Macaca fascicularis: one gene and its partners. The protein of the gene in region 1 purifies or fractionates together with the protein of each later gene. This does not show direct contact. Links are inferred from orthologs where the notes say so. Each region holds a gene or a part of one and is shown on either strand. Other genes may lie near its edges.

The links. Proteins that work in one complex are often made in the same cells at the same time.
Region 2: the proteins of MKI67 (region 1) and gamma-interferon-inducible protein 16 purify together in Homo sapiens (affinity purification with mass spectrometry; 3 studies listed by BioGRID and IntAct, with this or other methods). This does not show direct contact. The link is inferred for Macaca fascicularis from reciprocal best matches to the Homo sapiens genes MKI67 and IFI16.
Region 3: the proteins of MKI67 (region 1) and G3BP1 purify together in Homo sapiens (affinity purification with mass spectrometry; 3 studies listed by BioGRID and IntAct, with this or other methods). This does not show direct contact. The link is inferred for Macaca fascicularis from reciprocal best matches to the Homo sapiens genes MKI67 and G3BP1.

Annotation. Positions count from the first base shown.
Region 1 is NC_088383.1:137,074,423-137,077,934, reverse strand, and holds part of MKI67 (proliferation marker protein Ki-67), read left to right. Parts: intron 1-502; coding exon 503-815; intron 816-905; coding exon 906-1,024; intron 1,025-1,133; coding exon 1,134-1,305; intron 1,306-3,512. UniProt on the Homo sapiens protein: Protein that associates with the surface of mitotic chromosomes and acts both as a chromosome repellent during early mitosis and chromosome attractant during late mitosis.
Region 2 is NC_088375.1:102,071,808-102,076,022, reverse strand, and holds the start of gamma-interferon-inducible protein 16, read left to right. Parts: upstream 1-1,405; 5' UTR 1,406-1,657; intron 1,658-4,215.
Region 3 is NC_088380.1:158,622,729-158,626,701, forward strand, and holds the start of G3BP1 (ras GTPase-activating protein-binding protein 1), read left to right. Parts: upstream 1-1,163; 5' UTR 1,164-1,242; intron 1,243-1,510; exon of another isoform or gene 1,511-1,674; intron 1,675-3,973. UniProt on the Homo sapiens protein: Protein involved in various processes, such as stress granule formation and innate immunity. Plays an essential role in stress granule formation.

The DNA of each region.
Region 1 (3,512 bases):
TGTGTTGTCCTTCCTGGGTTTTACACCCCTGGGAACTCATGGCCCTATAGCTCATAACCTTCATAATGGGGCCTGGGCTGTCTTTCTTTTCTTCTCTTCCCAACAGGAGTGGAAAGTGATGCCTGGCTCCCTTTCCATTTTACACTGGCTCCCAGGGGCAAGCGGCCCTCCTTCCATGTGGGCTGCCGGGCCCTGGGTGCCCACGGCCGGTATTTACTGGGACTGAGATCAGATCCTGCTTGTCTTTCACTGATCAGGACGTTCATTCCACCTTTCTACCTGAAATGACCTCACTTCAGACTTTGCTTGCTTCTGTTTCCTGTTTTTCCTTCAATGACTGAGACAGTCACACCTCTACCATAGTCTTGAAAGACAGTGGCTTAAGCATTTGATGCTTCAAGATTTAAACAGCTGAAATTCTTAATTGAATAGGTTTTTATCAGTCATTCCAGAGATGTTACATCCTTGTTAAAGCTTCTTGTCAACAATTTTGTCTTGTCAGGAACAGCCTCAACCATCAGGAAAACAAGAGTCAACTTCAGAAATCAGTGTGGAAGTGAAGGCACAAAGCTTGGTTAGAAGCCCTCCAGCTCCTAGTCCTAGGAAAACTCCAGTTGCCAATGATCAACGCCGTAGGTCCTGCAAAGCAGCCCCTGCTTCCAGCAGCAAATCTCAGACAGAGGTTCCTAAGAGAGGAGGGAGAAAGAGCGGCAACCTGCCTTCAAAGAGAGCATCTATCAGCCGAAGTCAACATGATATTTTACAGATGATATGTTCCAAAAGAAGAAGTGGTGCTTCGGAAGCCAATCTAATTGGTTAGTCTTGCGTTAGAACACATATATTAAGGTGAATTGTTTCATGAATGCTAGTTTTTGAAAAGTTTCGTCATCTTTTTCCTTTGACAGTTGCAAAATCATGGGCAGATGTAGTAAAACTTGGTGCAAAACAAACACAAACTAAACTCATAAAACATGGTCCTCAAAGGTCAATGAACAAAAGGCAAAGAAGACCTGCTACTCCGAAGGTAGGGGCCTCACTGTATGCTGCTTTACACATCCGGGTGTCATGGAAGCTTGCATTCAGTGTGGATTCACGCTTTAATGTCCTGTTTACGTCCTTCCTATTTTCCACAGAAGCCTGTGGGCGAAGTTCACAGTCAATTTAGTACAGGCCATGCAAACTCTCCTTGTACCATAATAATAGGGAAGGCTCATACTGAAAAAGTACATGTGCCTGCTCGACCCTATAGAATGCTCAACAACTTCATTTCCAACCAAAAAATGGACTTTAAGGAAGATCTTTCAGGTAAAAACATAGCCTTAGATATTATAAATCTTTTGACTCTACTGTTTTTTACTGTGTTAATGTTTGTTTTGCTAACTATGTTCATCTGCTGTGAAAGGGATTATAAAAAACGACTGAGTCACCTTTCTGGGGTCTTAGTGTTCAGGGAAGACAAAGCTGGTTTGGCTTGTAAGGACAAGTCTCTACTAATTTTTGGGATCACGTGTCCTGCGTGAAATAGGTGTGGAAATGTCAAATGCATATCTTTACCCTGGAGAGCAGCGTATACATAGAAAGCTGGAAGGTGCTTTGCAGTGAAGAGAGTTAACTTGTTATACCTGCAGCTACACTAATAGTTTATCCCAGGTGTGGACCAGTTGTTTTTGAGCGATATTCTGCTTCTTCAGGATTTACTTTCTAGGTAGCTTAACTTTCTTGAAAGAAAGCCCTATGAGAAGATTCCCATAAACAATTGATTGTTGAAGAAATGTTTCCACTCGATTCCCACTCTGGGTAAATTGTGGCTTGACTTGTGTAATTTAAAGTGGGAATGGCCAGCACGGTGGCTCACGCGTGTAATTCCAGCACTTTGGGAGGCCGAGGTGGGCGGATCACCTGAGGTCCGGAGTTTGAGACCATCCTGGCCAACATGGTGAAACCCCGTCTCTACTAAAAATACAAAATTAGCTGGGTGTGGTAGTGCATGTCTGTAGTCCCAGCTACTCGGGAGGCTGAGGCAGGAGAATCACTTGAACCCGGGAGACAGAGGTTGTGGTGAGCCGAGATTGCGACATTGTACTCCAGCCTGGGCAACAGGAGCGAAACTCTGTCTCAAAAAATTAAAAAATAAAATAAAGTGGGGATGGTGGCAGGAGAGCGATTGTAGGTTTTGTGTTGTATAATTTGTCCAGTAGTTTTTACCGTGTACTATTTGGAAGGGTGGTGAGAGTTGAATTGAACAGGGGGAATCTTATTGTTGTTTTCTAGCAGATTGAGTTGTAAGAGTTGTACTCCTCCGTAATGGATGCAACATACCCTCTGATGAGTCATATTCGGATCAGTTCATTAATCTTTTTTAAAAAACCAAGAAGACAAAAATACAAGACCAAAACAAAAAATATAGATATGTATATATGAGTATTCTTGTAAATTATGAACATGTATGAATGTTCTAATATGTGTGTTACAAAATGTTAAAAACAAACCCTCAAAAATACTTTCTAGGAAAAACAAAATGCTAAATACTCAGTGTGTGGGACAGTGGATTGTCCCCAGCATCCCAGCGTTCCTTGTTTTTCTTTTTTTTTTTTTTTGAGACAGTGTCTCTCTCAGTCACCAGACTGGAGTGCAGTGGCACAATCTCAGCTCACTGCAGCCTCCAACTCCCAGGTTCAAGCAATTCTCCTGCCTCAGCCTCCCAAGTAGCTGGGACTACAGGTGTGTGCCACCACACCCAGCTGATTTTTGTATTTTTAGTAGAGATAGGGTTTCACCATGTTGGCCAGGCTGGTCTGTATCTCCTGACCTCGTTAATCTGCTCACCTCAGCCTCCCAAAGTGCTGGGATTATAGGCGTGAGCCATCACGCCTGGCCCGTTCTTTCTTTTAAGATGGTTTCCTAGAGTCAAGCAGTTCTCACCTGTTAGTATGAGTGAATATCATTACAAAACATTAGCATCTGCTGAAGACTAAATCCTAGGCATTTTATGTAGAAGGGGAGATTTTTGTGAATGGACTGGTTTGGAAGGGAGTTTTCAGAACAGGCTTCCCCTGAACATTTTGCGTATGACTGCCAGGTTGAAATAGCACTTGCATCCGGTGAGGCCAGAATGATACAAGTAAGGAGGACATGAGATGATAAGAGTTTTGCAGAGTTGAACTTCTATATAAATTGCTTTGTTATTATTTTTTTCCTGAGATTATATCAGTACTACTTTTTTTTGGTGTTAAAATGTTACCTGCAGCTACACTAGTAGTTTATCCCAGGTGTGGACCAGTTGTTATTGAGCAATATTTTGCTTCTTCAGGATTTACTTCCTAGGTGGCTTAACTTTCTTAAAGCCCTATGAGAAGATTCCCGTAAACAATTGATTGTTGAAGAAATGTTTCCACTCGATTCCCACTCTCAGTAAATTGTAGCCTGACTTGTGTAATTTAAAGTGGGGATGGCCGGCACGGTGGCTCACGTCTATAATCCCAGCACTTTGGGAGGCTGAGGCCTCCTATCAT
Region 2 (4,215 bases), on another chromosome or scaffold:
TTGAGGACATTACTGCATATAAAATGATTACAAGTAAAAGGCAGAAAATGTTTTGAATGGTCATAACTTCCAAGGGTCCTTACCCTTTGACCTCTGGATTGGGGTTCTCAATGACCGCCCTAATATCCTTCTCTACCTACTGCCTTAAGGCCAACTCAATGTATCCACATAAAGAGCAACCTAAAGCCAGTAAAAGATCACCATGAACACCCAGAGGTGTTTATGGCTGTCATTCCAGATCCTCTTTGCTTTTTCTTGACTTATTCCTTCTTTGATAAAGTTATTCGTGTGGTTTGAAATCCAGAATTCAGCTATCCCCTTCATGGCCCTAGTTTGGATTAAAACAATCAGCTTTCTTTTGCTCTGTAGATGGCCTTGAATAGTACATATTAACTGTCAATGGGGCCCCTTTTCCAACTCATGACCACATCCTGCTTGCAGATCTGCTGCTGGGTTAGCACCACATCATCTGCTAGTTGACGCCATTTAGTTAACATCCTGGGGTTACGGCACTCTAAAGGGCATCCATTGTCCTTAACAGAGAAAAATGCACTGCTGAGCAAAGGATTAAACAGGCTCCTCATGCTGCCAGAAGTTCAGTGCATTTTCCGGGATTTTCAAGGCTTCGATGCTGTCATATTGTGAGCCCACTATCCACTTGTATTTATCCATGAATACTGCAGAAAACATGAGCAATCATGAATCTAATCATTGAAGTAAAGTAACCTAGTTATAGTCAAGAGGACAGCTAGTGTTAAACTCCTTCATATAAATTTGAGGAAGGGTTTACATATTCATAATGACTTTCTGATCTGGAAATCCCCCAGGTTTGTCAGTTATTAACAATTGGATGAATAATTCAGGTAGTATTTAAACAAACAGCGATTTCATAGCAGACGCTTCCCCACCCAGGAGATGCAGTAAAATATTAGTAGCAATAGATGCTCCTACCAAGATCTCCTCCTGCCACTGCCACTCTGTGCACAGGAAAGGAGGGAGAAGAAGCCACCTTGCTTCTCTTATATTTGAGCATCATTTTAGACAATATAGGTCTCTAATGACCCACATGTAAGCCTGCTGGGTAAGAAAGTTCTAATGTTGGAATTCCTTTCAGTTATTTAATTTTGTGGGGAAAAAAACTTATTTATTTGTATTTATATACATTTATGAGGTACAAGTGTAATTTCGTTACATGGACATATGGCATATTGGGGAAGTCAGAGATTTTAGTGTACACATCACCCGAAAAATGTTCACTGGACCCATTAAAGTAATTTCTCATCCCCCCACTTCCCCTCACCACACCCTCTAGCCCTTGCCAGCAGGAAACTGTTCATTTTCTCTGACTAACAGAAACGAAAGCTAAAAACACTGGTGGGAGGAGTCTCCACATTGCTCCTACTCCATTCTCTCTGGGGCAATAACAGAATAGGAGCAAGCCAGGACTAGTCAGCTAACTGACTCAACCAAGGCCTTTTTTCCTTGTTATCTTTGCACATACTTCATTTTCTTGGCATTTCTGAAGATTACAACATCCTGCAGTTCCGTTTCTGGGAACTTTACTGATTTATCTCCCCCCTCACACAAAATAATCATTGTTTTCTGCATTGCTGAAGATCTCAACATCTGGACTAGTGTTGAAAAAATTTCCAGTGAGGTGAGTACTGTTGCTGATTTTGTAAATATGATCTTGTTCCTTCCTTGAAGTCCCCAAAATCACAAGGGGACAATCAGTATTCGTTATTCAGGGTCATGGGGTGATGGGAGTAGGGCTGGGTATTCAGAAAAGTTGCCGAGTTGCTTGATAGGAATCCTTCATTTACTTAGGAAGATAACAGGATTCTTTTATTCCACCACAACTGAGGACTGAACAAGAGAAAATGCATTTTGACCACTGCAGATTTTAAAACTAATTCTCTGAGTGTGTATTGGCGTAAGTTGGTACTTAGAAGAGGGCTTTGGTTATTTTGGCTGGAAGAAGCATTGGAAACTCGGTAGCTGTGGTGGGTTCTCAAGATAGTGATGTGAAAAAAGTATCATGAAAGAATATTAAGTAAAAAACACATCTGAACATAGAGGTGTATTATATGACATCATCTCAATTTTATAAAACATGAGAACAAATGTACACATAGAATAGAAAATCTTTTTAAGTTTCACAAACACAGTTATTCATGGTACATGGTGTCTTAATATTTTCATAAATATGTTGATCTTTTACTTTAGCTCCATTCTACAGCGGGTGCTAGGGGCAGAATTTCAGTCATTTTGGAATTACTCTCTGCCCTCCTGAAAGTTAATGATTTTTTTTTCCTTGTGGCAGGGTATAGGGGAGTGGAGGGGAAGTCAATTAGGAAAAGGTTACTATTGCTTACTTTTCAAATTTTTAAAAGATGTTTTCTGTAGCCTGGTACAATATTTCATGTGTGCTTAAATGGAATGTGAGATTTTTAAATGTTGATTTCAGAATTTTATTAGATAAATGTTAAGTTTATTAATTGCGTTGTTCAAATTTATTATATCATTACGGATTTTTTTTATCTTATTCGTTTAGTAATTGAAACATAAACTGAAATCTCCTATTATAAAGTTTGCTTTTTCGGCCGGGCACAGAGGTTCACGCCTGCAATCCCAGTACTTTGGGAGACCAAGGCGAGCTGATCACTTGAGGTGTCAGAGGTTCCAGACCAGCCTGGCCAGCCTGGCGAAACCCCATCTCTATTAAAAATACAAAAATTAGCTGGGTATGGTCGTGCGTGCCTGTAATCCCAGCTACTCAGGATACTGAGGCAGTAGAATCGCTTGAACCGGGAGGCAGAGGTTACAGTGAGCCGAGATTGTGCCACTACACTCCAGCCTGGGCAAGTGAGCAAGAAAAAAAAAACTGTCTCAAAAAAAAGAAAAATTTTTTTTTTCCTTGTAGTGCTCTCACAATCACATATGTATGTGTACATATAATATACATTCACACACAAATATATGTATATAGAATCATGTAGACAAAGAAGTACATACATATAAATATATGTGTGTGTAGTGATGTCTGTGCATGTGTGTATACGAAGAGAAATATATACTAATTATAGTACCACGAAGCACTATAAAATAATAAATAATATCATTAGATAAATAAGATAAATTCATAACTAAAACTGTTATAATTTCCTAGGAATTGAACCTTTTGTCATTATGTGGTATCTGAAGTTACTTTTGGGCTTAAGGTATATTTAAAGTTACACAAACATAGATAAACTGGCTTTCTTTAGTTATTCTTTGCAAGATAATTTTTAACAATTTTTTTCATTTTTTGTTAAGAACATGTATGTAGATTTCTTTTTTTTTTTTTTTTTTTTTTTTTTTGTTGAGACGGAGTCTCGCTTTGTCGCCCAGACTGGAGTGCAGTGGCCGGATCTCAGCTCACTGCAAGCTCCGCCTCCCGGGTTCACGCCATTCTCCTGCCTCAGCCTCCCGAGTAGCTGGGACTACAGACGCCCGCCACCTCGCCCGGCTAGGTTTTTGTATTTTTTAGTAGAGACGGGGTTTCACCGTGTTAGCCAGGATGGTCTCGATCTCCTGACCTTGTGATCCGCCCGTCTCGGCCTCCCAAAGTGCTGGGATTACAGGCTTGAGCCACCGCGCCCGGCCCGTATGTAGCTTTCTTAAATCAAATTTGATGAAAGTTGTCAATTAACAGGTCAGACCTTTTAGGTATATGCTGGTAATTAACAATCTGCAATCTGTTCTTCAATTTATGACAAATTTATATCATCTCACTATCTAAGACAATTGCTTTAGTGTATTGTCATGCTTCTTTTTCTTCCCTCCCTTTACCATGCTGTTGTAATTTCTGTTTCTCTTCTCTTTGATCGGGGCTTTCTTTTTAAGGCATTAGGAGCACCTAAAAAAACTTTATTTTTCACTCTTCTTATCTTTTGGCTGGCAGCATTTTTAATTTTATTCATTGTTTTCTTATTAAATATTATTTTCAATAGATGTTTTCTTGTGGCATGAGTCTTTGTCTTGCAAAAAGACTGCGGCCCTGAGAATCACAAAATAATTTTTGAGACTCTTCTATTTAAATATCATTGTGCCTAAATTAAAACTCCAAATGTAAAATTATATTTTCCCTTAAGACAAGATGAAAGCACCTATTCTGTGCAGTGGAGCTAGATAGATTTTGAAATTAAGAATCTGGAGGCTTCAGAAAGGCTATTT
Region 3 (3,973 bases), on another chromosome or scaffold:
CCAAAGCTATTTCCACAGAAAATGCCCACGGCGACCCACGCACGGCCGCCCAGCCATGAGTTATAGCCCCGCCAGTGCCTGAGACGCCAGGAGGAGGGGATGAGTTGCCCTTTAAAGGCGTAGCGACGAGAATAAGCCCCCATCCGCGGCAATTGGAGGCTGAACAATAGTGCCGCGGCTCGAGACGTGGTGCGAGGGCCCAAACTACACTGGAGCACGCGCGGACCACCGTGCCTCAGCCGCCACAAAGGGAGCCTCGCCACACGCCCGCGGCCGCCTCGCAGCACCCGCCCGGAAGCGCCTGGCGGAAGGGCGCGCTCCCAGGCACTTCCACTGGCTACCTTCCGGCGGGAGCCCGTAGGCGGCGCAGGAGCGACTTTCCTTCCCGTGCCCCACAGCAGTGCTGAGTAATGGTGAGGGCAGCAAGGCCCTTGGCCGTCGTATGTAAAAAAAAAAAAGTTGTAATAAAAACAAAACCACCCGGGAAACTTTGCCACTTAGTTCCCCACAGGTACCAAACTGTGCAGAAAAGGCGGTGTGCACGCCTCAGAGCCGGGACCCAGCAAGTCAGAGAAAGAAAGGAAAGAGAGCAGAAGCCGCAGCCTGCATAACCTCACAACCGCCCAGAGGGCACGGTCGCCCTGGGGCTCGGTCTCTTCCGAGCAGCGTAACCTCCGTGTCTATCAACTCCTTCCGGCATTGCGATTGGCCACAGGCTGTCTTGGCCTCTCGGGCGCCCGCCTCCTAGTTGCTAGGGGTTTACTTCCCCAAAGTACACGGGCCCCACCTTGTGGCGCAACCGCTCCTGCATGGAAAACGGATCTCCGCCCAGGGGAAGACGTGTTAACGAATAAGAGCAGCTCCGCATATTTATTGGCTACTCTGGGTATCAGTCAAAGAACTGCTCACCCGCCTTTCTATTGTACTTTTCGGTTATTGGTCTCTCTTAGTGCCGATCTGTTACTAGGGAAACGAGATCCTCACAGTCTCATAGGCATGAGTCAAAGCCAATCAAGAGCCACGCCTTCATCCCCAGTAAGTGCCCAATTGCTGTTCGAAGAGCCCGGAGGACGCGGTCGGGATTGGTCATCCCGTCGCCCGACCTGGCCGCAACAAGTTAGGGTGAGTGGCAGCTATATAGACCGGCGGCGGAGCACGCGTGTGTGCGGACGCAGTTGCGTGAGGGGTTTCTGTTATCCTTGGTGCTGTGGAGCAGAGCTAGTTCCTCTCCAGCTCAATCAGGTAGGTATGCAGGGGTGTGGGCGGGGCAGGGCAGCCAGAGGACTAAGCTGAGCCGCGGCAATTGTGAGAGGGAGAAGTCTGAGTGGCGCTCGCGGCGGCCGCGCCAGGCGCGTCCCCCACCCCCACCCCAGCCCCAACGGCCGCAGGCGCGCGCGGCGGACGGACGGGAGCGCGGCGGCTCCCCGCTCCCCCTCCCCTCCCGACTGGGGCGCGTGGCCGTGTCCGCCGCGTGCGCGTGCTGCGTTCAACGGCCACGCGGGGCGGGAGTGAGTCGCGGCCGCCGCCCGGGCCCCAGGGCGGCCTCGAGGACTAGGGGCTCTGCGCCCAGCGTTTCCCGCCCGCCACCCACTCCGCCACGCGCCTGCGGAGTCTTTTCGTCCCCTGGCCAAGAGATCCAGTCGGTTCGGACCAGAAGGAAGCTTTCGTTTAAGGGTGGGTGCAGCACTAAAGTCTAGAGTCTTGTGGTCCGCGCGCCGCAGAAGTGCCTTCAGTTTTGCAGGGAGGAAAGGGAGCAGCGAGTGCACGGAGTGATAGTAACAACCAGTGTTCTTTCCACGCTCTCGCTATGTGCCCGGCACTGTGCGGAGCCGCTTTTCTGCCTTTGATTTGATTGTCGCAGTGAACCGGCGAGGTGGGTACGGCTGTCCTCCTTCCGTAGCGGCCCAAGGCAAGGGTCTGGAGAGCGGGGTCACAGGCACGCACGGGAAGGGCGGGGATTTGCTGACGCCGGTCCCTCTGACTCCGAGTCCCCCGCTTCCCAAGCCTGTTTTATTCTTTGCCCCCAGAGCACTTGTCCCTCGGGACAGCATCAGCCTCAAAAGGCCACCTGCCGAGCAGGCTGCAGCGGCATTTGTACTTGGGCTAGTTCTGGGCTTCCAGGGAGACAAGGGTTGGTAGTGGGAATGTGACAAAGGAAAAGGGTTTGGGCTGCTTTTCTACGTGTATTCGTACAGGCCGTGGGTAGATGTGCCGCCACAGTAACTTCTGGAAAAAAGTAGGGAAAATGATGAGTAAGTGCAAAAGAACATCGACTGTGTTCCTCATCGGGTTTGAAACTCAGATTGGTGATGGGAAATTCCCGCCAGCGGGAAGTTAGGCTCCGGTTTTAGACGTTGAATTTTTTTTTCTCTCTATTTTTTTTTTTAATTGGAGGAGGCTTTTGGAGAAAGACCTTGAGAAGATTAACTTTATAGTTGAAGGAAGTGAGGTGCAAAGCAACGAGTTTCAGATCTCACTAGCATCTGTGGGTTAAAATACGGAATTGGAATGGAAAGGATGGCGCCCAGTTACGATATACATTTGATCTCTGTGGCGCGTGTCACCCTGGCCGAATTACTGGTGTTGGAGATGTCTTGGAAAAAACAACTGTGACAGTCGAGATCAGTGGATGAAAGTTTGTGTACACACTCCGTTTATTTAGCATTTACTCTGCTGGGTTCCTGTGTATATGCAGAAACAGGATGCTTTTCTTCAGACACTTGAGATTATATTTTTCTAGTAGAGTTACCATATTTTAGGTTATTTAAAAGCCAGCATACTCCTTGGCTTAGTGAAATAAATCTTCCTATGTTATAGAAACGCTTCTATAAACATAAACGTTTCTATAAACATGTTCTAGAAACTCTTTCTAGAGAAGCTGTTATGCGTTATAATGTAACAATGTTCCAAGTAACATTTACTTGGAACTTTCCTGGTGTAGCAATTCCGGTTACCTGCCCTTACGGACTGGTTAACTATTGAATTAGCATTTTAACTTAGACTTAAAGACGAGCAATTTAAGTTGTCAAATGGAAAAACACTAGAATGATCTGCATTTAAACTGTTAAAGCTTGAGTCCAGCTAATTTTATTACAGCTTGAGGCAAAATAGAATGAAATTACCTTACGCATTATTGAGGGAAAATTTTGTTAGTTTCTACTTAAAATATTAAAAAAAAAAATACAGTTCTTGGCCTCAGGCAAATGGTTATCACTTGGGCAGGAATATGCAAATTACGTGATTATTTCACAGACCGGTGCTCCAGCTGATCACTTGTGCATTCCTTTATCAGGAACTAGTGAGTTGAAGCAAATTGTGGTAATGTAAGGCTTGGCACGGCCGCCCTACATCCCTACCATTGGAGCTGCTTACCGGTAGAAAAGTCTAGCTTTTGTACCTCTTACAGGTAGAAAAGTAGACAGTTCTTTGTTTAACTCAGTTTGCTGTTCTCAGCTGACAGTCCACCAGGGAACATTAGGAGATTTTGGTTATGTTGGTTTGTGACCTACTTAGAGCAGTTTTTCTTTTGTAACTTATGGTTTTTCTTTTTTTTCCCCACTCGTTCTAGTATTTTGCATAGAAAGTGAACGGCAGAAGGCAGTTTTAAGTTTTTGTAAAAGTTTGTGAATTTTATATCGTCCTTAGGACTGATGGGGTTAGTGTTAAAAGACAAAATTTAACATAAAGCTTACATTTGTGACTAAAGCCAATTTTACAATTTTTTATTTTTGTCAGTCTGATAAAAGTACCCACTTGGTCTTTTAACAGTTTGCAAATTGATTTTTTTTGTTTCAGAATTCAAATATGCATTGTATGTTGTTTGTTTAATTATATTGTGCTTTGGCTTCCTTGGACAAAACTATTACTGACTTTAGGAAGAAGAATGAATAATTGTGGAAGTAGGTAGGTCACAAAAAAAAAAAAAAAGAAAAAGAAAGGAAGCCTCGTCCGCCCCCCCAGTAATTTGTCCACA